Linked DNA regions of Arabidopsis thaliana. The protein of the gene in region 1 purifies or fractionates together with the protein of each later gene. This does not show direct contact. Each region holds a gene or a part of one and is shown in the gene's direction. Other genes may lie near its edges. The genes, in order: AT5G16070, PAE1, EMB2107 and RPN1B.

The links.
Region 2: the proteins of AT5G16070 (region 1) and PAE1 fractionate together in Arabidopsis thaliana (co-fractionation; one large-scale study listed by BioGRID). This does not show direct contact.
Region 3: the proteins of AT5G16070 (region 1) and EMB2107 fractionate together in Arabidopsis thaliana (co-fractionation; one large-scale study listed by BioGRID). This does not show direct contact.
Region 4: the proteins of AT5G16070 (region 1) and RPN1B fractionate together in Arabidopsis thaliana (co-fractionation; one large-scale study listed by BioGRID). This does not show direct contact.

Annotation. Positions count from the first base shown.
Region 1 is NC_003076.8:5,245,695-5,252,898, reverse strand, and holds AT5G16070 (TCP-1/cpn60 chaperonin family protein), read left to right. Parts: upstream 1-1,719; 5' UTR 1,720-1,848; coding exon 1,849-1,982; intron 1,983-2,067; coding exon 2,068-2,131; intron 2,132-2,383; coding exon 2,384-2,519; intron 2,520-2,734; coding exon 2,735-2,886; intron 2,887-2,972; coding exon 2,973-3,020; intron 3,021-3,158; coding exon 3,159-3,251; intron 3,252-3,366; coding exon 3,367-3,473; intron 3,474-3,568; coding exon 3,569-3,683; intron 3,684-3,762; coding exon 3,763-3,846; intron 3,847-4,133; coding exon 4,134-4,338; intron 4,339-4,435; coding exon 4,436-4,530; intron 4,531-4,696; coding exon 4,697-4,765; intron 4,766-4,859; coding exon 4,860-4,967; intron 4,968-5,062; coding exon 5,063-5,181; intron 5,182-5,271; coding exon 5,272-5,350; 3' UTR 5,351-5,545; downstream 5,546-7,204. Other genes in the region: CXE17 (carboxyesterase 17), read left to right, coding at 1-366; AT5G16060 (Cytochrome c oxidase biogenesis protein Cmc1-like protein), read right to left, coding at 5,690-5,771, 6,193-6,340, 6,681-6,738. UniProt on the Arabidopsis thaliana protein: Molecular chaperone; assists the folding of proteins upon ATP hydrolysis. Known to play a role, in vitro, in the folding of actin and tubulin.
Region 2 is NC_003070.9:20,102,515-20,108,331, reverse strand, and holds PAE1 (20S proteasome alpha subunit E1), read left to right. Parts: upstream 1-2,254; 5' UTR 2,255-2,383; exon of another isoform or gene 2,384-2,471; 5' UTR 2,472-2,539; coding exon 2,540-2,553; intron 2,554-2,647; coding exon 2,648-2,729; intron 2,730-2,949; coding exon 2,950-3,030; intron 3,031-3,208; coding exon 3,209-3,322; intron 3,323-3,407; coding exon 3,408-3,509; intron 3,510-3,622; coding exon 3,623-3,681; intron 3,682-3,773; coding exon 3,774-3,876; intron 3,877-3,972; coding exon 3,973-4,038; intron 4,039-4,108; coding exon 4,109-4,201; 3' UTR 4,202-4,576; downstream 4,577-5,817. Other genes in the region: AT1G53860 (Remorin family protein), read left to right, coding at 1-159, 243-324, 943-1,167; PME1 (pectin methylesterase 1), read right to left, coding at 4,874-5,550, 5,716-5,817. UniProt on the Arabidopsis thaliana protein: The proteasome is a multicatalytic proteinase complex which is characterized by its ability to cleave peptides with Arg, Phe, Tyr, Leu, and Glu adjacent to the leaving group at neutral or slightly basic pH.
Region 3 is NC_003076.8:3,088,275-3,095,121, reverse strand, and holds EMB2107 (26S proteasome regulatory subunit, putative (RPN5)), read left to right. Parts: upstream 1-2,526; 5' UTR 2,527-2,687; coding exon 2,688-2,690; coding exon of another isoform or gene 2,691-2,694; intron 2,695-2,782; coding exon 2,783-2,977; intron 2,978-3,551; coding exon 3,552-3,659; intron 3,660-3,746; coding exon 3,747-3,851; intron 3,852-3,935; coding exon 3,936-3,992; intron 3,993-4,085; coding exon 4,086-4,282; intron 4,283-4,653; coding exon 4,654-4,753; intron 4,754-4,840; coding exon 4,841-4,953; intron 4,954-5,057; coding exon 5,058-5,215; intron 5,216-5,287; coding exon 5,288-5,365; intron 5,366-5,441; coding exon 5,442-5,716; 3' UTR 5,717-5,844; downstream 5,845-6,847. Other genes in the region: AT5G09910 (Ras-related small GTP-binding family protein), read right to left, coding at 190-376, 451-578, 670-723, 806-1,110, 1,176-1,317, 1,415-1,506, 1,757-1,850; AT5G09890 (Protein kinase family protein), read left to right, coding at 6,280-6,449, 6,553-6,727. UniProt on the Arabidopsis thaliana protein: Acts as a regulatory subunit of the 26 proteasome which is involved in the ATP-dependent degradation of ubiquitinated proteins. Required for gametogenesis and sporophyte development. Acts redundantly with RPN5B.
Region 4 is NC_003075.7:14,066,148-14,075,051, reverse strand, and holds RPN1B (26S proteasome regulatory subunit S2 1B), read left to right. Parts: upstream 1-2,469; 5' UTR 2,470-2,694; coding exon 2,695-2,811; intron 2,812-3,144; coding exon 3,145-3,245; intron 3,246-3,410; coding exon 3,411-3,531; intron 3,532-3,623; coding exon 3,624-3,683; intron 3,684-3,868; coding exon 3,869-3,979; intron 3,980-4,136; coding exon 4,137-4,202; intron 4,203-4,341; coding exon 4,342-4,463; intron 4,464-4,606; coding exon 4,607-4,721; intron 4,722-4,841; coding exon 4,842-4,916; intron 4,917-5,009; coding exon 5,010-5,168; intron 5,169-5,266; coding exon 5,267-5,374; intron 5,375-5,451; coding exon 5,452-5,553; intron 5,554-5,644; coding exon 5,645-5,785; intron 5,786-5,867; coding exon 5,868-5,972; intron 5,973-6,055; coding exon 6,056-6,277; intron 6,278-6,372; coding exon 6,373-6,486; intron 6,487-6,574; coding exon 6,575-6,790; intron 6,791-6,887; coding exon 6,888-6,947; intron 6,948-7,043; coding exon 7,044-7,157; intron 7,158-7,251; and 9 more. Other genes in the region: AT4G28480 (DNAJ heat shock family protein), read right to left, coding at 1-396, 655-1,100, 1,578-1,742; AT4G28460 (uncharacterized protein), read right to left, coding at 8,751-8,904. UniProt on the Arabidopsis thaliana protein: Acts as a regulatory subunit of the 26 proteasome which is involved in the ATP-dependent degradation of ubiquitinated proteins.

The DNA of each region.
Region 1 (7,204 bases):
AGAACGTCTTCGGAGAAACAACAACATCACACCAAGTCATCGGCGCTTACTCTTTCAGCTTCCGACGCATATTGGCGTCTAGCTCTGCCACGTGGAGCGAGTAGAGACCATCCATGGTGTAACCCTCTGATGAGCTCGGCGGGAGCGAAGTTACCGACGACGATGGTGTTCATGGCGGAGTTTGATATACTAAAAGAACGAAACTTGGAGATGTGTAAAGTGATGAGAAGCCATGGGAAGAGAGTTGAAGGTATAGTTCATGGAGGTGTTGGTCACGCTTTTCATATTCTCGACAACTCGTCGGTGTCACGTGATCGAATCCACGACATGATGTGTCGTCTTCACAACTTCATACATCCATCATAATAATTCCCTAAAGACCTTTTTCTGAAACCTTTAATTGATTTAAAATGTTGTTCTTGAAAAATAATAAGAGATAAAAACTTGAAATGTTGTGTTTTTATTGTGGATTAAAGTAAGCTTTGCTTTGTAGTGTTTTTTCAGTGAAGGTGAATAGTATAAATTATGTAATACAATAGATGGACTTGTACTTTTAAGTTAAGTTATGTATCCAATGCTTGAATATAATCTTAGCTTGACCACTGTAATTTTATTTCCTATTTTGTTTATGAGAAAGATAGTTTTTTTTTTCTTTTACTAAAAAAATTTATTTTGAAAAGAGTTGGAAATTAGAATCTACCTTTTGTTTTCTAGCACTTCAATAATTTTTCTCATAGTTGACTTTGATAAATTTGCCTTCGTGACAGAGACCATACAACTATAAAATGTTGTAGTGGATAAAAAATGTACTATTTCATTACAGTTTTTAAAATAATAAAGGTCAGCCATCAAGATATATAAATCTTGTACTACTTACTCAATCTTTTGCTTAAAATCTTTGAGTGTAAGCTATTTTCACTGTAATATTTAACTATGTATCTAGATATTGCTTATTTATCCACGAGGTTAGGTTTTTGTACATTTCACACGATTTTTTTTTTTGGAATCGAGTCAAAAAAAGGAATTGACTCAAGTAATGTATGGTCATAAACTCCCAAATACATAAAAGAAGACGATATTTATTCTTCTTTTCTTTTCCTCCACTTTTTGACGGGGCTTTCTTCATATGGATTGTTCGGTACGAATCACTATTGATAACAAGGAAATAAAAAAGTTGGTATCAAGATCTGTAACTTAAATTCGATACGTGTGTGTGTGTATACCAAGTTGTTAATGGTCCAAAACACAAACCATTTTACCATCACTATCCCCAACCCGTTTTTATTTTAGTTCTGTTGGGCCATATATTACACATTGACTAGAATTTTGATTCCAATAATAGATTATTCAGCTAACGCAATGGTTCATCTGAAAATTGTTTTAAGCATAGTCAAATCAGCCAGTTGCTAACGAACGAATTTGTTTTTAATCCTAAATAGACTACAAAACTAAATGATCAAATCAATCAAATTTTGAAATACCATTACTCTTACTAAGTATTAATTAAAAAAACTAATTTTAGGTCTAAATTTATATTACGTTTATAATTAAATTTCTTTCTTCAAATGATGATCGGAATAATATTGCAGAATGTTGGAGAATATATGATTTTTAGAGAATCAATTAATATATGGCTAAAAATGTAAAACATATTATAATCTGGGTAAATTTTGTAATTTCAGGTTAATATTAAAGTCTCTAGAGCGACTAGAGTCTCTCAACATCGGCTTCACTTTTAAAACCCAGAAGAAAGCCCTAAAGCTCTCTCCCTCTCTCTCGCTCGCTCTCTAGTTCAGTCTCAAGTTATTCTCTTCGTGTCCTGAATCTGTGCACCAAAGGTTATCGAAAATGTCAGTGCGAGTTCTGAATCCTAATGCCGAGGTTCTCAACAAATCTGCGGCGCTTCATATGACCATCAACGCCGCCAAGGGTTTGCAAGATGTACTCAAGTCGAATCTCGGTCCTAAAGGAACAATCAAAATGTATTTTATCCTCTTGATTTAATCTGATCTATGTATATACTGTTCATTATCTTCAAATTCCTCATGTGCTTCTCACTCGATGCAGGCTTGTTGGTGGTTCTGGGGATATTAAGCTTACCAAAGATGGGAACACGCTATTGAAGGAAATGGTGAGTTTGATCTTTTAAAATCAATCTAGATCGTATTGATCTGTTAGAATCGAGCTCTGTTTTGGCTTTTTAGTGTTGAAGGGTGCTCAGAAGCCCGTGAATTGTGTCATTTAGTACTACGCTAGATAAGATAGACGAAAGGATTAAGATACTGCCGGATAATCTTTGGTGTTGATATGGGCTACTGGTATGCTCCTTTACAAGTTATCTTGGTTCGATGATGCTTACACTCTGATTTCTTAACTGTTGCAGCAAATTCAGAATCCAACAGCCATTATGATTGCGAGGACAGCTGTTGCACAGGATGATATAAGTGGTGATGGTACTACTTCCACTGTTATCTTCATTGGTGAGCTTATGAAACAGTCTGAACGCTGCATCGATGAAGGTAAGTCGCTAATTGTTTGCTGAGAGTTCGTTAGTTTTATACTCCTATATGCTTGTTTTTATTTTATTTCTCAATCTATGTGTTATTAGTGGGGACCAACTATTTGTATTCAGCGACATTGATTTGCCAAGTTTTGTTTATATTGGGTATAGAAAATGCACAACTGGTATCTAGTTTTGTAGCCAGAATCCTAATGAAGGTTTATACTGTATCAGGTATGCATCCACGAGTCCTAGTTGATGGTTTCGAGATTGCTAAGAGAGCTACTCTTCAATTTCTTGACAACTTCAAGACCCCTGTTGTTATGGGTGATGAAGTTGATAAAGAGATCCTAAAAATGGTTGCAAGAACGACACTAAGAACAAAAGTATTCTTCATTTTATGATTATCTTTCTTTTCATTTGATTTTTCTTTTCGTTTTCTAATTTCGATTTACTCTTGTGGATTGTGTAGTTGTACGAAGGCTTAGCTGATCAACTGACTGACATTGTCGTCAATTCGGTGAGTTAACTGTTCTCTAATGGAATCTCACTTATTCTTTTCATTTTTTTTGTTCACACAGATGAGGACTCATCTATGCACCAATATTGGTTTTCGAGCTTGTTTGTCTTCTAATTATCTACTTTCCTCACATTACAGGTTCTTTGCATCCGAAAGCCTGAGGAAGCTATTGATCTGTTTATGGTGGAAATAATGCACATGCGTCACAAATTCGATGTTGACACACGATTGGTATGTCTTGACTTAATTTATTGTAAAATAGTTCCCTCATTATAGGTTTATATATGAAATACTTGCCGGTTTATAGTATGGACCTGTTGGAAACACTGACTTAATTCTGAATTAGGTTGAGGGGCTTGTTCTGGATCATGGTTCGAGACACCCTGACATGAAACGACGCGCAGAAAATTGCCACATCTTAACTTGCAATGTGTCACTAGAGTATGAGAAGAGGTGTGTAATATAATTCTTTGGTCAATTTGGCGAAGAGAAAGTAAAGGCCTGGATGTTTCTGGTGATGTGGACTAATATTTCTATTTATCTATCAGTGAAATCAATGCAGGATTTTTCTACTCTAATGCGGAGCAGAGGGAAGCCATGGTTACCGCAGAGAGGCGATCTGTTGATGAAAGAGTTAAGAAAATAATTGAGCTGAAGAAGAAGGTGGGACTGCGACCATTTCTCCAAGTTTTATTTTAAAACCCTGTAAAAAATACTAATACATGTTTTATTTCTTGTGCAGGTGTGTGGTGATAATGACAACTTTGTTGTCATAAATCAGAAGGGTATTGACCCACCATCATTGGATCTTCTTGCTAGAGAAGGGGTAAGCTACTTCTGTGTTTTCTTGCATTTAAACTTATGTTACAAATCGCTGAAATTGTGATATTTAGGAACAAGAAGAAAGATACTAGGGAAGAATGTGTTATTAAGTGAATTGAAATTGCCAGTAATATTAAAAGAGTAGTTCCTTCGATATACAATAATCCATGGAGACGATTGGCAGCATTAGTTTTTAGTTCTGGGACACTGACTGAGCTTGTCTATTCTTTTGTACCTAATTTCTCTTGTTTAGAAGCTGTTGAATCTAATTACCTTTCCTCATGTGTCCAGATTATTGGTCTTAGAAGAGCAAAGAGGAGGAACATGGAACGTTTAGTTTTGGCCTGTGGTGGAGAAGCTGTGAATTCTGTTGACGACTTGACCCCTGAGTCTCTTGGATGGGCTGGACTTGTCTATGAGCACGTTCTTGGGGAGGAAAAGTACACCTTTGTGGAGCAAGTGAAGAATCCTAATTCATGTACCATCCTCATAAAAGGTATTAGGACGACTTTTATGTCTTCATTAAGTTTTGATGGTTCATTTGTTCTTTTAGTAGTTTTAGTGTTCATTCATGAATTTCTTGGGTTTTGTAGGGCCTAATGATCACACTATTGCCCAAATTAAGGACGCTGTTCGTGATGGTCTGAGATCGGTCAAGAACACCATAGAAGACGAGTGTGTTGTGTTAGTAAGTACCTTATATATCTTGAAGTTTTTTTGTTAACATTGCTTTATGTTTCTCCGCAATATCAAAGAAATTGTTAATTCGTGATCAAAACCCTGGGTAAGGTTAGCATATAGACCTATTGTATATGTTTTGCGTTATGTTAATGTGTGGTTGCATGTTTCTGTAGGGAGCAGGAGCTTTTGAAGTTGCAGCAAGGCAACACTTACTCAATGAAGTCAAGAAAACCGTTCAAGGGGTAAGTTGATTTCTTCACTCGTACTCTAATTCTCGCAACATTACTTAATGCATCCCAATATTCTAAATTGCTAATACTATCATGAACATTGCAGCGTGCCCAACTTGGCGTTGAAGCTTTTGCTAATGCCCTTCTCGTGGTGCCTAAGACACTTGCAGAAAATGCAGGTCTTGATACCCAAGATGTGATCATTTCTCTTACGGTATGCATTCATCTCTCTTATCATCTTCTGCAAACTGAAATCAATTGTTGAAGGAACAAAGAATTAGAATTGCTCATTGTGATGCGCTTATGCAGAGCGAGCATGACAAAGGGAACGTTGTGGGACTGAACCTTCAGGACGGTGAACCTATTGACCCGCAGCTTGCTGGTATTTTTGATAATTACTCAGTGAAACGCCAACTTATCAATTCAGGGTAATGTTCGACCCAACTAGTCAATTCTAATAAAAGCTTTGGGTTTCGGTTGAAACCATTTCAATAACCGGCTATTTGTTTGTGTTGCAGGCCAGTGATTGCGTCGCAATTACTTTTGGTGGACGAAGTGATTCGTGCAGGCAGAAATATGAGGAAGCCTACTGCTTGAAGTCCTTTGCTTTTAACTTGGTTTCTAATTTGTAAGCACCTCAAATTTTGTTTCTTGGTGTAAATCCTGAATATTGTGAAACATATGTTTTTTTTTTCTTTTTGGCAATGAAAAACATATTTGAATCTGATCTTTAGATGTAGTGGATCTTTTGCAAAATGATAAAAAATAGTAATACAAAATCTATTTGAATCTGATCTCTAGATTTAGTGAATACACCCATATTTAAGAAAGGCCACAGTTTATTTATAAAAAAGGATATATTTTGGTTCGCAATGAACAAGAAACAAAGCGAGGACATTATATTGGTCGTACTCAAATCTTTTGTTCAACAAACATCTATATGGCCGAGGCTGAGACTTTACCCTCTTCTTGAACCATATACGCTCTCTTCATTTCCTCCAAGACATTGTCATTGGTGCTGCAGAATCAACAAAATAGTTTCATGGTTAGACAACATTTAAGCATCGGCCCAACAAGGGAGACGTTCATTAGGGAGTCACATAAAAAGAACTTGTGCACCAAGAACAAGACTGTGCTACACCGATATAGAAGATAGTTATTACTTCTCTTTTATCGCAGTATCAAAGAATCATCAATCATCCCCTTCTATAAGCTTATATTTGGTTACATATATATACTAGCACTGGTACGTCATGATAACGTTATGCATCTCCTAACCACAAGTTGTCTCATTTCATCATATCAGACTTACCAGTGAAGGGTATTAAGAAAGAATAATCAAAATCAGATGCCCCCATACACAACAAATCTTTATACGTAACAGTGAAAAAAAGATGACACCTCTAATGGAAGGAGCACTAAAAACTCGAAAAACTTACAATTGATGGAGGCAAGTGTTGAGCTCCCTAGCTTGCTTACGACATGTCCATACCACAGAAAAAGTTCTTCCTGTTGCGCATTGAGCATACTTGGAGACGTACTGATCACATTCCATTAATGCCTTTGCCTTCATCTTGCTACGCAGCGCTAATAACAAAGTATATACATAATCAATCAAACAACCATTTAACAAAAAAAAACCATCACCATTTCAACTTCAACACAATCTATAAGCTCAATTCATAGAAGCAATTTGACACACTCAATGAGAGCTTGCTAGATCAGATGCAAAATATGGAGTTACTACCAAGGGTTTATGAGAACCCTAATCCTCAATCTAGCAAAAGAATCTGCGTCTATGATAAGAAACCAGGCTTAAATAGTATCGATATGGTTGATCTCATTTTCGAGGCAATAAAAAAACCATTTGGGGGTTTAGGGTTTTAAAACATAGCGAGATGAAGAAGTCACGACATTGTCAAATTACCTTCTTCGACCTTCTTCTTCACGTGATTTTCACGAGCTTGCTCCACATAGCTACCCATTGACGACGGACCTTCGAGCTTTTCCGGCCTTCTCCGATCAATTCGATCAAAAGGGCAAAGGGGACTAGAAATGGGTTCAGGGCAAAGGGTAAATCCGTCATTTACCCCAAGGAAACTTAACTTATATTGCCATTTTGCCCCCTTAATATTTTTGTATTATATGAATGACCTTATTAACTTATGATTCGTCACATTTCACCCACTTCAATTTAAAATTATGGACGAGAATTAAGTCCTTTGACGGTCAACAGATTAGCACGTGTCGTATTTTAATTGGGTCGTTGCCCCTCTCTCTCTCTTTACTCTTTTCCCATTTAATGGTCACGAGACCGTCTCCCCCAAATTTCTCACTTCCCCTAATTTCGCTTCGAATTCAAAAGCCCTAATTCGAAAATTCCCATTTCTCAAGGTACGGTTCCGATCTTCCTTGCTCATACTTCGACAATGTTTTTTCTGCTTCTCGTTT
Region 2 (5,817 bases), on another chromosome or scaffold:
CTCGGTGACGAGTCATTGGAACTCGAGAGAAGAAGAAGAAGAAGAGATATCGAAGAGTTTAAGACATTTCGATATGGAGAGTGAGTTAAGGAGAAGTGTGTCTGAATCTAAAGCTCCTTTATGGGATGATGAAGACGACAAGATCAAGTTTTGTCAAAGGTCTGAACTTAAAATCTTGACGATGGTGAAAAAAAAAATCTTGATGAAATTATGAAAATTGAAAAGTTGAATTTTTTTTGAAGGTATCAAAGAGAAGAGGCCAAAATTCAAGCATGGGTTAATCTTGAAAACGCTAAAGCCGAAGCTCAATCTAGAAAGCTTGAGGTATGTGTATGTGTATACGTATATTTTGTTGAGATATACGGTGTAGAAATACGGATTTTGTTATGTTCTAACGGAATTGTGGAGCCACGCGCCAATATTAGAGTAATGTTCGGAGTCCTTTACTTAGTTTCATTGACTAGTCTTTGTTGCTTTATTAGGCAAAAGTCTTTGAGTTTCTAATTTTAAAATTGGGATGACATCTTTGTAGCCTGTACTTGTAATTTGTGCAAGTCCCATGTGAAAAGATTGATTTACTCTCTTGGGAAATTGGAGTCTTAGATTAAATTATCAATCATCTATCATCTAGCTACATAATTTGGATTAAACTTTAAAAATAAATGTAGCTATATTGAAATGATTAATTTTCAAGAATTAATGTCTGCGATTTTGGTGGTTATGTAGTAGCTACATGATAGTCGTACTTGTAATTTGTGCAAGTCCCATGTGAAAAAATTAGTAATTTCCTCTCTTGAGAATTTGGAGACTAAAATTTAATTATTAACTATTAATCATAATTATCTAGCTATATAATCATAATTAATAGTCCATAAATGTAGTTGAGTGATGAAGTTTTAAATAATTAATGTGTGATATTTGGGGTGGTAATTATTGTTGTAGGTGAAAATACAGAAGATGAGATCAAATTTAGAGGAGAAATTAATGAAGAGAATGGATATGGTGCACCGGAGAGCAGAAGATTGGAGAGCTACGGCGAGGCAGCAACATGTTGAGCAGATGCAGAAAGCGGCCGAGACGGCGAGGAAATTGACAAACCGCCGAGGCTATTTGGTTACCGGCCGTAGCTCATGTGGTTGTCTACCTTGCAATAATACTTGTCATTAACTCAGTCAAAGTAAAAGAGAGTAAAATACACATAAACAAACACAAGAAATTACTGTTTATGTGTTTCAATTATCAACATGTATGTTCGTTTATTGTTTATGCAAGAAAGTAAAAAGCCGATATGGAATAACGAATCGCAAAACTTCTTTTCAAAAAAACGGATTTTTTTCTGTAAATTAATTTGCAGAATTAAACGAAAAAAAGTTGAACATAGAATTGTAATTTTGTGCGTTGAACTTGAGTGGTATAAAATAAGTGTACTAGAACTTTTTTTTTCTTTCATCTGAAACTTGTTTTGGAACCATGGTGAAATACAAATTTCAAACAAGGGAAGCTAAGCCGATGGACGAAAGAAAAGTCATCGGAAACTAAAGTCGACGTACGAGAGAAAAGTCCTTGAAAACTAAAGCTGGAGGAAAACGTAAATTTTTTGGAGTCTAAAACCCTATAAAGGGGAAACATGAACACATTACAAAACAGAAATTTTAAAGCCTAAATCGAAAGAGATCGAAACCAAAACCTAAACATAAGTGTACTAGAACAAATCACTAGAATATATAAGTTTTTTTTTTTTTTTTGGAGTTCTAAAATTGGTAGGAAAAAACACAAACACTAGTGAAGACTATTTCCATTAATATATATAAGGAGTTTTGTTCTTGTTGTCTTTTAGTAACGAAATTCGAATAGTTGTTATCATGCAAAAGTGTTTAGAGAAATAAGAGAGACTGACCAAAGACAAACTTTTGCGTCTGGAAGGAGAAGAAGTCTCGCAACAAGTCACAGCTTTTCATCGTTCCCATACTTTTACGAGACAACACTCTTTCAATTATTTTGTACTTTTCTGTTTGGTTTTATTCACTAAAACTAATTATTTCTAAAAAAAACATTTATTTGTGTACAGCAAAAAAATAATAACCTGGACTGCCAATTTTTGTCTTTTTCTTTTATTGTTACACTTAACTTCTGACATTGAGATAAATTGGAACATGTTCAAATTCCAGTCAGTTCTATAGCTGTCTCATAATTTTTCAAAAATACAAAGAAAGGCCTAATTGGGTGACCCAGGCTTAATATAGTTAGGCCCATGAAAGCCCATTATAAAAAACGCTGCGTTTAGAAACAATCTAACTTGTTCTTCAAGAAGAAGTGCGTCTTTGAAAGCTAAAAAGAGAGCAAAAGCTTCTGTTTATTCTCCGATTCGCAGATCAATTAGCTGGTTTGATTCTATACTCTCAACAAGTTCATTGTGATGATTTTTATTTTCTCTGAATCTCTGGATTAACTCAGATCCGTTGTTTTTCTAGGGTTTTGATTCCGTTGTGCGAAGGACTTTAAGAGGTTTTGCAGATCGAAATCGGAAGAGAAGAAGAAGATGTTTCTCACTAGGTATCTCTATCTACTTCTGGGTTCATTGAAATTTTCTTCCTTTACTTCAATCGTTTGTTTTGCTTATGGTGGTTTCTGATTTTGTTGTGCGAAGAACTGAGTATGACAGAGGAGTGAACACTTTTTCTCCAGAAGGAAGGCTATTTCAAGTGGAATATGCCATTGAAGCTATCAAGGTAACTTTTCGATTCCTCAATTTGTTAGTTTCCTATGGAAATCGAGAAATTTTGAAGAAAGGGTAATGGTTGATTTACGGTTTTCTTTGATTGCTTTAGCTTATTTGCACAAGTTCTAGCTCACATTTCCTTGTTTAATCGATGTAGTTTGCATTTCAAATTTGTAAAAGGGATTGTTGAATTTTGTTGAGACTCTGATGAGTGTTGAATTTTGTTGCAGCTTGGTTCTACTGCAATTGGAGTAAAGACAAAAGAAGGAGTTGTGCTTGCTGTCGAGAAGCGTATCACGTCGCCATTGCTGGTTTGCTTGCTAACTTTGAATTCTATGTTTTTCAGAATTTTTCTTGTGATTCACTATTTTGGAACAATTTGAATTGAATCTGATGATATGATCAAGCAGAAGCATATAAGCTTTCTATGTTAGTTATGGTGATATTAGCTTTCTCAGTATATGTTAAATGCTTTTTCTTTTTCCCCAGGAACCGAGCAGTGTGGAGAAGATTATGGAAATTGATGACCATATTGGTTGTGCTATGAGCGGTTTAATTGCTGACGCGCGCACACTTGTTGAGCATGCTAGAGTTGAAACTCAAGTAAGGTTTCTGTCTCTAGGGTCTTTTCTTTTAGCTTCAACAGGTCTTTTATGTGTTATTGACGGCTTCTTTTGCTCTTGTACAGAACCATAGATTCTCGTATGGTGAGCCGATGACTGTAGAGTCCACAACACAAGCACTGTGTGATCTGGCTTTACGGTTTGGTGAAGGAGAGGAAGAATCAATGGTAATAATCAAAATTGGAATTACTGATTAGAACAAAACCTTGATAAGTTGGATATCCATATTTAGTCGTTGTATTGTGTGTACTGATTCTCTTTGTCATTAATGTGACTACAGTCTCGGCCGTTTGGAGTATCTCTTCTCATTGCTGGCCATGATGAAAATGGACCAAGCTTGTAAGTTCTCCTTCAGTTGGATTTCTTCTACTGAAATGGTTCACTTGTGTAAGTTAGTTTATCTTCTTGTAAATGACTCTGTCTTGTTACAGGTACTACACTGATCCTTCAGGAACATTCTGGCAGTGCAATGCAAAGGCAATTGGTTCAGGTTCTGAAGGAGCTGATAGCTCTCTTCAAGAGCAATTCAACAAAGTAACTTGAACTTTTTCCCAATTGTTTTTCAATAAATTATTTGATTACATCACTTTATTTGCCATTAAAACCTTTAGTTTCATTAACTTGTTGCAGGATTTGTCTCTACAAGAAGCTGAGACTATCGCTGTATCTATCCTAAAGCAAGTTATGGAAGAAAAGGTACAAATTTTACAATCCAAAACTGTAAACAGAAGTTCTTGCTCAATCTAATTGTATTGGTTGGTGATAGGTGACTCCAAATAACGTGGATATTGCCAAGGTAGCACCAGCTTATCATCTCTACACTCCACAAGAAGTCGAAGCAGTCATCGCTCGTCTTTGATTGAAAAAACTCAATTTGGGTAATTTACCTATCAGCTTGTGTCACAAAACTTGTTACTTTTGTCTGTTAGATTGAGGATCATGTCACATTTTAGTCGGTTGTGTAAGAGAATCTTTTGGCTCCCATGTCATTCAATAACCTTTCGGATTTGTGACTTATAAAATTTCCTTTCCTACCACTTACGTTTTGTTACTTGCTCTTCGACTTGGCTTTGTCCTGACTATATGGATAGATTTATTCTGGCTTGCTCCACAAGTTAATCTTGTTTATTCTGGTTTTGTTTAGTGTGGATAGATTAGTATTGAGTTAGATTTTTGTTTAGGAGCCGGCTCCTAATTAATCGCCATCAGATAATTAGATTTTTATCGGATTTATGATCATCCCGTTTGTTAGTAACATCGTCGACAATGTCCCGATGACAAGGATATGAAGGTGAGTAATGGTTAGTAACAGTATCATCGTTGTGTTATAATTCGAGTTCAAGGTGTGAGCTACAAAAAGCGAGTAGCTTTGATAGTTCTACATCAAGAAGATATCGTATTAGGGGATACACAAAATACAACTATGTTGGAAAAAATTACAGATCATGCATAAGTGTCAAACAAATATAAAGTAGATCACAACCGGATGTTTTCAAAAACAAGCTACGAATCCAATTGTATTGTCACTATATTAAGATAGCTGATTGATCACTCCTGTTGCCGGTATCCAATCAGCTCCGTGTAAAAGCGTAGCCACTGTAAACTTCGCAGCCTCGGCGTCCGACATAACCGGTTTATATCCAGCCCATTTAACTCTCTGCGTTACATCTGAACCCGGGCCCGTATTCTTATACTCTCCGTAGACAATACTTGCTGGTGGATCAACTCCAGAAACCCATGACATCCACCCGGACGGTCGAACCACTGCTCCAATCACCGTCTCCATAATAACCGTCGTGGAAAACTCCTTCCACGGCCGGCCAAGATACGTGGGAGCAATCACATTGCCGTTTGCGGAGATAGTGCATCGTTGAATCGACATCCCCGAGCTTTGGTTCGGATCTTTTTTGCCCTGAGCGGTTATGGTGTTGAATTGGTTAGAAAGAGGCTGGCGAGGCATGATTTTGCAGCCTTGGAAAACGACCGCAGCACTTCCGAAAATGAAGTCGATTGTCCCAGTAACGTCGCAGTCACGGTAGAATTGGCGGTTGGAGTGAGGGTAAAGAGTGTCTTGAAAACCATCGAATGAGCATTGGTAATAGACTGAGAAATCAGAGCCTGATCGGAATGCCACAGCTTGGTGTTTTGCTGCTCCCGCGGTGTTTATGATTCCAATATCCTTCATTATAAATCCTTTGCCTTGTATAGCTGCATCAAAAGAGAAACTTAACAACCATAGCTAAATTGGTAAACTATGTAACAATGTCAAGTCTTTTTTGTTCTTACCTAAACCAAATCAAATTTGACCTCTTCACTAATCTTAACAACTTAATCAAAGATAATAATAAGGAACAAGGGAAGAAGAGGACTCACCAAACGTCGCCGTTTCGTAAGTAGGAGTCCCGTCGACGAAGTTCTTGCTGCCGGAAATAATGGTCTTCCCTTTGCCGTCACCGTAAATCATAACGTTCCATT
Region 3 (6,847 bases), 2.2 Mb from region 1:
CAACTTAAAAAAAAAAAAAAAAAAAACTTATCAAGTTTTTTTCACATGATTAAGATAATTATCACACGAATCATGTATTATTTAGAAAAAAAGAATACTTAGATTATGTTTGGAGTGTTGACAAATAAAAGAAGATAATGTTTGGAAGATTACAGGAAAATAATGTGAGATTTGATCTGTGTTTTACTTTCAGACGTTAATATCCATCCGCTTAGACCTGCCATTACCATTGCTGGTTTCCTCTACACTGGAAAGAGAGAATCTCGGAATAGCGTAATTGTAACGGTCAGGTGGTTGCTGCGGATAGAGTGTAGGAGACTGCATGAGATTGTGTTGCGGTAATGTGTTATATTTGTAAGCATCTCCTTCCCTTAGGCTGCAAAATTCAAAAGACCAAAACCCGATAAAGAAAAGAAATCCGATTTTTTTTAGGATGATAAATATATATACCTTGTTCTTTTATAGAACTGATCTTCATCACTTGTGCCCTCATCTAACCGCTGGGAAGGTGCATGGGAAAGAGACCATGCTGAAGAAGGCGACGGTAGTTCGTCTGAGAAATATCTTCTTCTTATCAACTGAAAACGAAAAACGTTCATTAGGTTGAAGAGAAAGAGAGAGAGGGAGAGAGCTATTGTAAAACATGGCAAGGTCAGAAATGACACCAACCATATGGAAAATTTTGGTCAGAGCTTCTTTGTCATATCTAGCTTCCTTGGCAGCCTGTGCATAATTTTACCAAAATTATATGACATACCGCATAACACTAAATTCAAATAAAGCAAGTAATTTAGTCTGTGGTTACCATTATGAGACCAACATTGCTAGGGAAGCTCTCAGAGAGAGGAAGTTCATCACTATGGGGAAGCAGACCCTGCTTCTCAACCCAATGACGAGCTGCATCAACAAGATTGCCACTGCTTCCATTTGTTCCTCCTTTGGCAGCAATATCAGCTTTGTTTCCAATAACGATGTATGGGACGGGAAGACCACCAGGCCCACCAGAAGAAAGGGGAGCTGAAAACTCCCCAGTTACTGAAACTTCACCCGCCCATTTCTGCAAATTAGTTTTTGTAGTCCTTTGCGAAAGATCATGAACAAAAATAACTCCTGCATAATCAAACAGTCGCATCAGTGACAAAACAGGGACAGAGATGACATTTGTTGAGACAGACCATTGATTTGTGAATAGAACAGTGAGCGGCAATCTTTGTATCGTTCATGACCTGAAACATCCCAAAGTTCGACGAAGAAATCTCTCTCTGAGTCACCTTTAATGATACTTGAAGAACTAGCAGGACTTGCGTAAGTTAAGTGCTGCACCAAAGAGAGTTCCAGAAACTAAGTAGGGAAACTTATCCCATGCTCTCTTTAACCATATCGAGAATTTTTTTTATAGAACAGCTTAAGTTACCTTGACACCAACTGTACATCCAATAGTTTGAGATGGGCGAACAATAGAGGAGCCTTTGACAATGAGATGCACAAGAGATGATTTTCCCACACCTAATTTGATATCCAGAGATAAAACTTTGCTCAATAGTGGAGAAGATGTAGTAGACTTACGAAACTTGACTCTTATTAGGTTCCACAAGTAGAAACTCATATCCAATCATCATGAGAAATCTTCTCATTAGCTCCTTCTTTAAGGATGAGTTTGTGCACTACGACAAACTTTCTTTAGTTCCATTAAATGGCTACTTAAAAAGCTAGAACCATTACCAAATCTATGGAAACGAGAATTTGTTAATATTACCTGAATCACCAACCACCAATACTCGAATTTGGCCGCATAATGGCGCTACCATATGTTCCTTATTTTCCCTGCCACGTTCCCTCCAAAACCGCATTTTGATTACTCCAGCAAAATCGGCACTGCGAAATTAAGTCCCATAGTCGCGTCTTCGACCAAAAGAGAAGCTTCCAGAAATCATCATTTCGAAACTCTGATTCCTAGCTGTAAGCAGATTATTCTAATCCATCACCTTGCACATTGCAAAACAGAGTCTCGGCTACAGTTCCTTCACCTTCCTAGTGCAAATAATCTCTAGAGCACAAATCGAAACCAATACCGAAGTTAACACAATTGATGGAGGTAAGCAGCGAATCTAAGGAATATGTAAGAGGATCAATATTCGAATTCTAAGAGCGTAATAAGAGTTTCACAGAAGTAAGATTCACCTTCTTCCTCCTTAACGTTCTTCTCCTCGATGAAAAAAATTCAGAAAAGATCTTTCCAGTAATCAAGGTAAACCATTGAATCTCGAGACAGGGAGTTCTCGATCGACATTATAGAATCTCTGGTTTCGCTACGAAAATTCGAAGATATCATGAGATTTGGGCGGAAGAACGAACGACGTGAGTTTGTTCAATCAATGGGATCGGTTCGATACTTCTGAACCAACACCATACCATATAACTAGACCGGTATTACATACCAAACCTGATTGACTCAAAACAATTAGTTAATGGCCCATTAGCAGCCCATGTAAAAAGATCCATCGGCCGAAGAATCTGAGATTTCTTGTTCAAGGGGTTGGGAACTCTGCGAATTATCTGTGCTCAGCTACTCCCAAAAGCTCTCTCATCTCTCTCGTCCGTCTCCTCTTTCTCCATAGTTTAAAGCTTCGTCGTTCCGTCACCAGAATTTCAACTACTTTGAGTTGATTCTCGTTGGATTTCTCACGATGGCGAGTCTTCAATTACTCAGATCTGATATTAAGTTTTTTTCTCGTTTTCGAAATTTTTGCATCTTCTCATTCCGTCATAGTTTGTATTTCAGGGAGACAGCGGGAAGCTTGAGGCAACGATAGATCGGCTTCTGAATGAAGAGAAGCAGATGAGACTCGCCGAAAACGTAGCCGGTACAAGGAAAGCCGCCACTGAGATTCTTCAGCTTTGTTTCGATGCTAAGGATTGGAAACTTCTGAATGAGCAGATTCTCAATCTCTCTAAGAAACGTGGTCAGCTCAAACAGGTACTTGGAATTTTGGTTATATCCTATCAGTGTTTGTGGTTTAAGCTCTTAAGGAACATGAACTTTTGGTTTGGGATAATTTGAAGGATTTGTTTAAGTTGGATATTTTGTTTGAGTTTTGAATGTGATTTGTTCCACATTTGACTTAGGAATTGCATAGGCCTAGTTTTTGGTAACCCTAATCTTGGAAAGAGATTAAGGACATTAGCACAAATTCAGGAGGATTCGACTTTGTGTTGGATACAAGCTTCTTTTTGTGGGATGTTGTCCTGTGATAGGTTGCTTTTACGATTCCTCTCTATGATTTTGATAGATTCACTGTTGACTCAAATATTAAAGCTAAATTGGGTCATTGCAGATAGTGATGTTTGTATTTAGTTCAGTTTATTACTTAACTTAGTTTGATTTTCAGTGTTTCGTTGGTTTTACTTTTGCTTTGCGTGTTTTCTTGGTCTAGTTACTTCAGACAGAATTAGCTTCACCTTTCCATGTACAAAATTATAGTTAAAAGTAAGGATACAAAGTGATAAGTCAACATCACTGATTTTTTTTTTGTGAACTTCTCCACTTGCAGGCTGTGCAATCCATGGTGCAGCAAGCAATGCAGTATATCGATCAGACACCAGACATTGAAACTCGGATAGAGCTTATCAAGACGCTGAACAATGTATCTGCTGGAAAGGTGCGAAACTATGAAACTGATGGTGTATTCTTTATAATAACTTCATCATTCTGTGTAATTGTTTACCATTGCATTTTACATGTATAGATATATGTTGAAATCGAGAGGGCACGTCTCACCAAGAAACTTGCTAAGATTAAGGAAGAACAGGGTCAGATAGCTGAAGCTGCAGATCTTATGCAAGAAGTTGCTGTAAGATTTTGTGCATTTGGCTATTAAATCTCCTGGAAATTTTCTTCCCTTGTTAACCCCTGCAATTTGATAAATAATTAACAGGTGGAGACATTTGGTGCTATGGCAAAAACTGAGAAAATTGCATTTATCCTTGAACAAGTAAGGACTTGTGTAGTTACGTTGCAATTAATAATTTGCTGGTGTTTTCTTTCATTGTGATAACTATCAAACTATTGTGGTCAAACTTTAAAGGTTCGCTTGTGCTTGGATCGTCAAGATTTTGTTCGTGCACAAATCTTATCTAGGAAGATCAATCCTAGAGTTTTTGACGCAGATACAAAAAAAGATAAGAAGAAACCTAAGGAAGGTGATAACATGGTAGAAGAGGCTCCTGCTGATATACCAACCCTTTTGGAGCTTAAGCGAATTTACTACGAGCTTATGATTCGGTACGGCCTTCTTGAGCTTCTCTATCACATTGTTCGTGATTTGTATTTCCATCATTTATCATGGCATTTTAAATTCTTATATGACTGTTTAATTATGGACCTCTCTCTCTGTCTCTTAAATTCTATCAATCTGTGTGGCTTTTGCTTGCTATGGTTTTCTCAGAGATGCATATTACAACTTTTTCCTGGAGGACAGTATCGAAATTTGGATGAATCTCCTTTTGTGTCAAATTTATGACTCTCTTTTCATGGCCAACGATTTTGGACATCAATTGCATTATGTTATCCACTGAATTCTGACGTACCATGATTGATTTCTGTGGCATTCTCATCTTTTTTATTATTAACCATAAAAAATTTCAACTATGTAGGTACTATTCTCATAACAATGAGTACATTGAAATCTGCCGTAGCTACAAGGCGATATATGATATCCCTTCAGTAAAAGAAACTCCGGAGCAGTGGATTCCGGTAAGCTCATGCCGTTGATTGGATGTATAGTTAGTATACATTCTATAGGGTTAGTGTAATAACTTTCTTTGATCTTCAAAACATTAGGTCCTGAGGAAGATCTGCTGGTTCTTGGTCTTGGCACCTCATGACCCAATGCAATCAAGCTTGCTCAATGCAACTCTGGAAGACAAGAATTTATCAGAAATCCCTGATTTCAAGTATATTTTATTTTCTGATAAATTTTGTTATTTCAATAACTGATTCTTTTGTACTCAAATGGGTTCTCAGTCTTTTTTTCTTTGTTTGATATCACCCGTTTCAGGATGCTTCTAAAACAGGTAGTGACAATGGAGGTTATTCAATGGACATCTCTGTGGAACAAATACAAGGATGAGTTCGAGAAAGAGAAAAGCATGATTGGAGGTTCTTTGGGTGACAAAGCTGGTGAAGATCTGAAACTGAGAATCATCGAACATGTAAGTCTCTCAATTTGTCTTTAAGCTTGTTTACATAAGTTGATTGATGCTTTAAAGTTATTAATTTATTCTGCAGAATATCCTCGTTGTCTCAAAGTACTACGCAAGGATAACCTTAAAGAGACTTGCCGAGCTTTTATGCCTGAGCATGGAGGTATGTTTGATCTAATCTCACTGGCTATATCAACTATGCTTCTGCTTGTTATAATTGTTGGAAATTGTGATTTCAGGAGGCGGAGAAGCATCTATCGGAGATGGTAGTGTCAAAAGCACTGATTGCAAAAATAGACAGACCATCTGGAATTGTGTGCTTCCAGATCGCAAAGGACAGCAACGAGATTCTAAACTCGTGGGCAGGGAATTTGGAGAAGCTTCTAGATCTTGTGGAAAAGAGTTGCCACCAAATTCACAAGGAAACCATGGTTCACAAAGCCGCTCTCAGACCTTGAAAACATGCGGTCTTCTTCATGAAAACTTTTCAGGATCTTCTTCGTTGAGTTATTAGCATCTTTATGTGGTAAAAACTCGAATCAGTGTTTCCTTTTAAAAATTGTACTATGGATCTGTACACTAACGAAGTGTTTTGCCACTTATTGGTTATTTCAAGTGTTGGTGGATTAGTTTTTGGTTAAATTGTTAGAAAATTTACATGAATTTACTGAACGAGAAGAATAATCTCGTGTGTGCCCCAGGAGATAGATCCAAACCTTGCGCTGACAAAAAGTCAGACGATAAAAAATTGCTTCATCAAAGATTGCAAGTTAATAATAAAAACTAAAATTATGATGGCACTGGCACATGTATAGTCTTCCATACTCTAAAAAAAACTAATAAAATTTGTTTATTGTTGTTAATTAATGTGATTAAATTTAATAGAGAGGAGACAGCTTTGCCAGTTCATCTCTGGTAAATAGTCCACGTTCTGGCGTCTTTGGGATTTCACCAACACCGTGACAGCTCCTTAGATCTCTCCTCGATTACTTCCTTTTTAATTTCCATGGCTCTCTAAAAATCTCTCTCTCTTTCTCTCTCTCTTACTTGTATTGTTACGATCTCTGCTTGAAGATTATGGACGGCGCCGATGGAACCGTTCGCGTCAAGCCTGGTCGCGGATTCGAAACGGAGACGGATGTTGCGGTTTCGTCGCCAGTGACACGTCAGAAAGCTGCTGCAGCTAAGCAATTCATCGAGAATCATTATAAGAATTACTTGCAAGGCTTGCACGAACGAATGGAGAGGTTTGGATTCGGGATTTTTGTTTGTTTTCAAATCTGATCTGGTCTTTGCTTCATTTCGAAAGATGACTTGTGTTTGACTTGAGATTTTTTTTGAAAATTACAGACGCAGGGAGTTTCAGAGGAAAGTGCAAGAAGCTCAGTTACCTGTTGAGGAACAAGACGAGATGATGAGGAATCTGGCTCGTCGTGAAACTGAGTATATGAGACTTCAGAGACGTAAAATTGGGATTGATGATTTTGAGCTTTTGACCGTTATTGGCAAAGGTGCCTTTGGTGAGGTACAATATCACATTCTATTTCCTAAATCGAGCTTGTTTATACAGAGATCTATGCGTTTCTCTAGAAATTGACTACTTAAGGAATCGATTACTCTTCAGGATATCTTGTAATCTCTGAAA
Region 4 (8,904 bases), on another chromosome or scaffold:
GTTAATCTCGCTGGAAACTTGATATTGAACTTGATCCTTAAGTTCCCTTTCTTTGTCTGATCTTTCTGGAGTGGCATTCCCTCTTTAGGAACCACCTCTTCATACTCTGGATGGATCACATTTGTGATCGGGATTGTAAGTGTACGGCCATCAAGGGTCGCTATGTTTGCGGTGTAGCCTGTTAAGGCATCAGCTAGTGAGACTTTCTGTGTGACAATCAGGTCGTTGCCCTCACGGGTAAACACTGGATGGGGTTTCTCGTCAATGATGAAGACTAGATCCGCTGGAATCACACCTGGATGCTCATTGCCTTTCTCTGGGAATGTGATCTTTGTGCCTTTCTTCCACCCGGGTTTCACTCCAATCGTTAGAATCTCTTCCACTTGCATTGCCTTACTGCATTTACCAGAAGACAGATATTAGATATTGTTAAGACAACAACTAGGGTCAGCTCAAATCAACAATTAACCATATGGAAGCTGGGGAATGTTGCAGAATCTAAAAGCTTGAAACTTTGTTTCATATATGTTCATCATACTTGGGACTTGGGAGGTTGTATATTTCTAAAACCATGCTCTAGGTTGACTAGTAGATAAGCCTAATAACAAAATGTTATAAGTGTGATCGAAATGGTATCTGAGTTCAATCACTTACCCGCTGACATCTACAATCTCCCTGGAGATCTTCATCTTCTTGGTGGTTCCTTTGTAGAGATCTTCAAGGCTACAAGGCAACTTGTTCTCGATAGGAGCCACTTTCCTAGCTGCAGCGTGATGATGATGATGGTGATGATGATGCATAGCTCCTCCTCCACCTGCTCCTTCACCAAACGAGGCATACATATCATCACCAAACATGCGGCTAGCGAATCTCTGCCCTCCAGTGCCACCACCACCGCCACCAAACGGGGTCGAGAACCCGAAAAACTCAGCGAATATATCATCTGCACTTCTCGGGTTGAATCTGAAAGACGAAGATCCATCTCCTGTTGAGAAGTAGGATGCTCCACTAGTAGCAGCATTGGGAGGTGGCACATTCCCTTTTAACCCTTCCTCACCGTATTGATCATATACAGCTCTCTTTTGAGGATCGCTAAGAACCTAATCATCTCACAACAAAAACCAACATTAGCCTCATAAAAGCCTGAGTCAAATCAAACAATCTTAGTATGTTCCTCATAATCCTAAGCTACACATTGACAAGTACAGAGTGCCTAAGAGGTTCTCAATAATCAATCACAGAGTTAAGAAAACGGATAAATCATGACTCAGAAGATCAGCAAAGAAAGCACAAATTAAGAGCTTTGGAGATAACCTAGCTTGCCCAAATATAAAGCAATCATCTTTTACTATATACTATGATTCGAATTACTCAGGGACACGAAATCTAAAAACCCCACGAACCAACACAACATCAAATCGTGAAATCAGACTAATTGCATCTCATATCAAAAATCAGAAACAAGTTCGTGACCACCGACAGTATCAAGGGAATGAAAATTTCTCAATAGAAATAAAAATCAAAACTTTAGGGACGATTTCAATAAAGCAAAAGCAGTGGAGGAATCAAACACATACATCGTAGGCCTCAGAGATCTGCTTGAACTTAGCCTCAGCGTCTTTTTTGTTGTTAGGGTTCTTATCAGGATGCCATTTCATAGCGAGTTTTCTATAAGCTTTCTTAAGGTCATCGTCGTTAGCGCTTCTATCAACCTGTAAAACCTTGTAATAATCAACTCCCATCTCACCTTCTTCTTCTTTGTCTTCTCTCTTTCGTTTCTTCACTTTTCCTGAATTCGATTAAACAAAAAAAAGGAATTGGTAATTTCTGGATTTCTTGTTCGTCTCAGGTCTCTTCTTCTTCTTTGGCTTAGTATATCTCGTGGAAGGTTCGAGAAAACACGATCTTTGTTTGTCTCCGTTGACGGGGAGGTGACGGTGTTTTAAATCACAGCTTTGCCATCTTGCCTCTTCCCTTCTCCATTTCTTTTCCTTTTCTTCTTTTATTATCGCTCAAGTAATTCAGATTCTCCCATTTATATTATTAATTATAAAAACAATTAAATGTTATTTCCTCTTTCATTATGTGAAGGTATATGTTTGAGTTCGACTAATATTGCTAACTTTACCATAAAAGAACATGTCGACTAAGACATGTAACGTATTTATATAAATGTTGCTATTATTATGTTGTTCGAATTTAAATCCGATCGAATTAGTTGCTTCGAATTTAAATTGATCAAATGTAAATCCGATAAAATAGATGTTTTTGGAGTCCTTTATTTTGTGATTGGCTATATCGCCCAAATAAAATAAATTTTAAAGTGTTGATTATATATAGAGATGTTTGCCAAAGACAAGGTGTTTTATATAGAGACCATAGTAGAATACTATGGCCCAATGAATAGCCCAATTTATTATGGGCTGAGCCCACAATGGAATTCTTGATCGAGGGGTAATCTTCTTCCGTATAAGTACTTTTTTTTATCTGATAGTATTTATTTTTTACAGTTGAACCTTTTTGCTACAGTTCCTGAAGAAAAGCATAGTTCTTCTCTAACGAGCCATTCCAGAGAGACTTAGGGTTTACGCGAGAGCTCATAAGATAGAAGCTGCTCGATTCTTCCGAGTTTTACGAATTTCGATACTCATTGTTTGGATTCGTTGATTTGATCAGGTGATAGTCTGACTTACAATGGCTCCAGTTCCGGATCCGAACAGTGTTGGCGGTGGTGCGAAGCGGGACGAAGCTACGACGAAGATTCCTTCTAAGGATTCCAAGAAGAAAGATGATAAAAAGGAAGAGGATCTGGTGAGTTTTCTTTATATCGATTTCGATTATTAGTTGGAATCGTGCTTAGCTGAGTTAGAAAGAATCCAGGGAGATCGGAAAAAACTCACGATTAAGCTGTAGATTTTCCGAGATGTACGGTTTAGCTGATATATTGTGAATGTCGCATTGCTATTTAGAAAGCGAGGTTAAGAAGTTGGTTAAATCCACATTATAACTCGTTCTGGGAAGATACAATTCTTGTTAGGGTTTAAGTCACATGGAGTTAAATTAATAGGAATCTTTTGTACTATGGCTATGGTTTTAGCTGGTTTGATTGGCAGCTGACTCAATTTGCATATGATGTTATTGTAGTCTGAAGAGGACTTGCAACTAAAGCAGAATCTGGAGCTCTATGTTGAGAGAGTTCAGGACCCCAATCCTGAGTTACAGAAGATTGCTCTTGAAAGCATGAGGTAGTTTTTGTATCTCTTAAACCCATCCTTGATTTGATTAGATGCAAATATTCTGATAATTTTCTATTGGAGTTTCTTTAATGGGCTTATGACACTTCTTTTGCTGCTTTTAGTGCTTTCACTGTTTTCATAGTCTAATCTTGATCGATCTCTTTTGGTATGTAGGAAGGAAATTCGTGACTCAACAAGCTCCATGACATCAGTTCCAAAACCCCTCAAGTTTCTCCGCCCTCATTATGGAGTTCTTAAAGAATTTCATGCAAAAATGGCAGAGTCTGATCTCAAAGTACGATTTCAAACATTTTAAGTCATTTCTCATCAACACCGTCTTAGTCGTTCTACTGAGTCTGGATTATAAGATCGCACTCGTTTTTGCAGAAAATGTTGGCTGATATACTTTCTGTCCTGGCACTGACCATGTCTGCTGAAGGTGAAAGGGTATGCTTTCTTGCTACTGTTGTAGGAGTTTCTTGCCTATTGCTATTTGCTTCACATTCATTTAACTAGATTCCCTTTTGTTTTCCTCTTATGATATGCCTTACCAGATTTGTGTTTTGTGGTTCTTGGTAGAATTTGACTTAAGCTATTTGTTGCTGATCCTTTGTTATGCAATACTCTTTCAGGAAAGCTTAAACTATAGGTTGAATGGATCAGAGAGTGACATCGGATCGTGGGGTCACGAGTATGTCAGGAATTTGGCTGGAGAGATTGCAAAAGAGTATACAATACGTCAGGTTAGTAAACAATTTGGTCTTTGGCAATGTTCTTTAGCTCGAGGAGTTTCACTCATATTCTGGCAACGTCATGGATATTATGGTTTGTTAATGAATATTATGACAATGGGCTCGTTACTGAATATGGTTATAATGCTCATTCTTTTTGTTATATCAGGGTGAAGAGTCCTCTATTGAAGACTTAATGGATCTTGTGCAGCAAATTGTTTCTTTTCACATGAAGGTGAGATCCTTGTCATTCTTACTTTTCTTGTAATAACAAGGGGTCCATTGTATATTAATATAAGTTTCATTGATAGGCGTGAAATTTGCGCCTCTTGTTTTGTTCACATTTTTGAAGGATTCCCTTTTGTTCTTTGCAGCATAATGCCGAAACCGAAGCTGTTGACCTTTTAATGGATGTTGAGGATCTTGATCTCTTACTTGAGCATGTTGACAATACAAATTTCAGGAGGACGTGCAACTATCTCACGAGTGCAGCAAAGTAATTTCAATATGTTTAGCTTATTCATTCGACTGGCGTTTCACCCTTAATTATGTTATTTTCATATGAGACAAGCTCTCATGAGCTTTGCTTGGTTATCTTGCACATTATCAGTCCCGTTGATATTGTATGTTTTTTTCCAGGTATCTTCCAGGACCAGATGACATGTTGGTTCTAGATATTGCTTACATGATCTACATTAAGTTTGCAGAATATCCAAACGCGCTGCAAATTGCATTATTTCTTGATAACATGCAGGTATGGTTCTAATCTTCATATAAAACTTAATATCCTCTTTCTGCAACATGGGAGCAGCTGGGAAAAGCTCTTCTTTAACTTATGTATTTTTCTTATGATATATATTTTTCCTTTGTGCAGTATGTGAAGCAAGTATTTACCTCATGTACCGATCTGGTAAAAAAGAAACAGTTCTGCTACATGATTGCACGTCATGTAAGTTCTTAATAATTTAAATTAGCATAAAGGTGCAGTACCTGATTTTTTATTTTCTTATATTTATTTTTCTCTTGTTATTTCTCCATGCAGGGTATGACCTTTGAGCTTGACCAAGAGATGGTTGCAAATGACGAAGACAAAGAAGCGCTACAGGATATTGTTAACAACTCTAAGTTGAGTGAAGGATATCTGACGCTTGCTAGGGATATTGAGGTCATGGAGGCCAAGACGCCTGAAGACATCTACAAGGTATATCAGTTTAATTGAATATTATGTCTGTTACTGGTTTATTTGGTTACAGGATATGTTTATGGAAGTGCCTCTTACCTGTCCACTGAAATTTGCAGGCTCACTTGCTTGATGGTAGGGCTAGCTCTGGTCCAAGTGTGGACTCAGCTAGGCAAAATCTATCTGCGACTTTTGTGAATGCATTTGTAAATGCTGGATTCGGCCAGGTATGATTACAGGATCTTAATGTGCAACATAAGAAGAACTTTGGAAGCTGCCCTTTTCATATATTTCCTTATTGCAGGACAAATTAATGACAGTACCATCTGACTCAACCAGTGGATCGGCTGGAAACTGGCTCTTCAAAAATAAAGAACATGGAAAGACCAGTGCAGTTGCTAGTCTGGTATACCTCATCTTACTTGATAAATTGATTAGCTATGTTTTTATTTTGGAAGTAAAATTGTAACACGAACTTGTTTTAACAACAATTCTAGGGTATGATTCAATTGTGGGATGTGGAGACCGGACTAGGTCATCTCGACAAATATTTCCATAGTAACGATAATCCCGTCGTTGCTGGAGCTCTGCTGGGAGTTGGGATTGTTAATTGTGGCATTAAGAATGATTGTGACCCTGTGAGTTTTTTTTTTTTTTTAATATGGGAACCTCTGTGTCACAATTTTTCGCCATTCATTCTCACTCAGCTCTCTTTCTCAGGCATTTGCCCTTCTTTCAGGTTATATTGACAATGAGGATTCATCTGTCCGAATTGGTGCTATTATGGGTCTCGGGATTGCATATGCGGGTTCCCAAAATGATCAGGTGAATACATGTTATCTTCTTACCTATGGTGCTAAGTTGAATGTTCTGTTGACGAGACAATAACATGCTCACTGTTTGGATAGATAAAAATCAGGTTGTCTCCAATACTAAATGATGCCAACGCACCTCTCGATGTGATTGCATTTGCTGCACTTAGTTTGGGGATGATTTATGTTGGTTCGTGTAACGAAGAGGTTGCACAATCTATTATATTTGCTTTGATGGATCGGAGCGAGGCAGAGCTGGGTGAAGCCCTCACTCGTTTCTTGCCTCTTGGACTTGGTCTTTTGTACCTTGGCAAACAGGTGGGCAGCCAGTCATACTTGATTATTTTTCTTGTTCGTGTACTTGATCGTTATTTCCCCGATTATTAGTTTTAACTTGTTCCAATATCGAGCAGGAAAGTGTGGAGGCTACTGCAGAAGTTTCAAAGACGTTCAATGAGAAAATCAGAAAGTATTGTGATATGACACTTCTTTCATGTGCATATGCTGGAACCGGGAATGTCCTTAAGGTATCTGATCAAGTGTGCTAGTGGTTGAATTAGATTATTCACTTCTTTCTAGTTTAGTCTGACTCTTCAAACTATTCAAACTATTCAGGTCCAAGACCTTCTGGCTCAGTGTGGAGAGCATCTGGTGAAAGGTGATATCCACCAGGGTCCAGCTGTGATTGGATTAGCTATGGTTGCTATGTCTGAGGAATTGGGTCTGGATATGGAGATCCGTTCTTTGGAGCGCGTACTACAGTATGGAGAGCAGAACATTCGACGTGCAGTGCCTTTGGCTCTTGGTCTCCTATGTATATCAAACCCAAAGGTGAGTATTATTTTTGCATATCTAGTTTTCGGCGGCGTGCAGTTACTTTTCTGCTTAAGAATACTGTTGTTACTCTCTAACTTTTTTATAATTCCAGGTGACTGTTATGGACACTTTGAGCAGACTAAGCCATGACACAGATTCAGAAGTTGCAATGGTGAGTTATCTTTTCGCCACTCATGGTTGAGGTAGAGTAGTTATTTCTTTGACTTGCTATGCAGCGTTGGACTGATGTTTCATCTGATTCCTACAGGCAGCAATTATCTCCCTTGGATTGATAGGCGCTGGAACCAACAATGCAAGGATAGCTGGCATGCTTAGAAATCTCTCCAGCTATTATTACAAGGATGCCAGCCTTCTTTTCTGTGTAACGTTTTATGATTTCTTTTTAAGTTTTCATGGAATAAACACGGTTTCTACTTATGATAGGCTTGTTCTCATTGTCTTAAGTCACAATGCAGGTGCGCATCGCTCAAGGGTTTGTGCATATGGGAAAGGGTCTCTTAACTCTCAATCCTTTCCACTCCGAACGGCTCTTGCTATCGCCGTAAGTTATAACATATATTTTATGTATACTTTGCTTTCAAAGCTCCACCTTGTGAATCCTAAACTTGGGTGTTGTATTTTGTACCTAGAACCGCACTTGCTGGTATAGTGACATTGTTGCATGCATGCCTTGACATGAAATCCATTATACTGGGGAAATATCACTATGTGCTCTACTTCCTTGTTTTGGCGATGCAGGTGAGTGCAATTTTCTGTCTGATGACTTTTTTTTTAATGAACTAAGTTTATCTACTAACACAATACGGTTTGAGTGTGTAGCCAAGGATGATGCTGACGGTGGATCAGAGCCTGAAGCCCATCTCGGTGCCAGTGCGGGTAGGACAAGCGGTTGATGTGGTTGGACAGGCAGGCCGACCTAAGACAATCACTGGGTTCCAAACGCACTCAACACCTGTTCTCCTTGCTGCTGGGGAGAGAGCTGAACTCGCAACCGAGAAGTATGTTGTTCCTCTAATCCCCTTGTTACATTATCCTACTCGAAATAAAACTCTGTTTTACATATTGGAATCTAAAAAAACTCTGCTTCTTTTTGGGTCACAGGTACATTCCGTTGTCGCCCATATTAGAAGGTTTCGTCATATTGAAGGAAAATCCAGACTACAGAGAGGAGTAAATCCAAAGTTGCAAGCATTTGAAGAAAGAGAGAGAGCCTTTGAATACTTTCACTACGGTTGTCAAAAGTTTTTTAGTTTATTCCCGTCTGTTCCCAGGAAATGGTTCACAATCTCTCCTTTTAAAAGAAAAAATAGCTTCATTGCAATATATAGGAACTTCTTGTGCACTACTTTAATATCGCATTCTAAAAGCTGGATAAGTTTCCAAATCCAATTCTCTTAACCTGCAACTCCTTCAAATCAACTCGTTCGACGTTTCTATAAACTTGGCTTATTGATTATGGGCTCTTTGGTTTGCTGCCCTGGAACTTCAAGTTCTTGGTTTGTACGCACTCCAACTTCAATTTGTGACATGCAAAGGCTCCTCTCGTTGTTTCCGGATTTGGCCAAAACTATGTAATATTATTAAAATGTTGAAAGGGTGACCCAGCTAGCCCGGCTACATATTTACAATTTTACATAGATGGCGTGCACGACTCACTTGTTTCCTCGGTGTATCTTTTTTTTTTTTTTTTGAATAAGTTCGTTCCCAAACATAAACCAGAAGTATAAAATCTTATTAAAATTAGCAACCAGCAAAAGCAAAAATCATGTACATGTATATTGAGGGTTTTAGTTTCTGTCACTAACTATATGAACTTTGCCTAAAGAAAAAAAAAACAAATAATGAAATAAATGAATGGAATACAGTTTTCACCGTTTGTTCTGGTATACATATGGGGTATATCGAGATTAATTAATCTCCTCCGGCCAGGAAAAAAAAAGTAAAAAAGGAAAATTTAATGGCCGCGACCTCTTGGACTTGGACCCGACGCCAAACGCTGAAACCAAGAATCCACCGTCGATTTCATCTTCTCCACCGTCATAGTCGCACTTCCATCTCCCGATTTTTCAGTAAGAACCCTCCCCGCCGCAGCCGGAACCACCACGTGT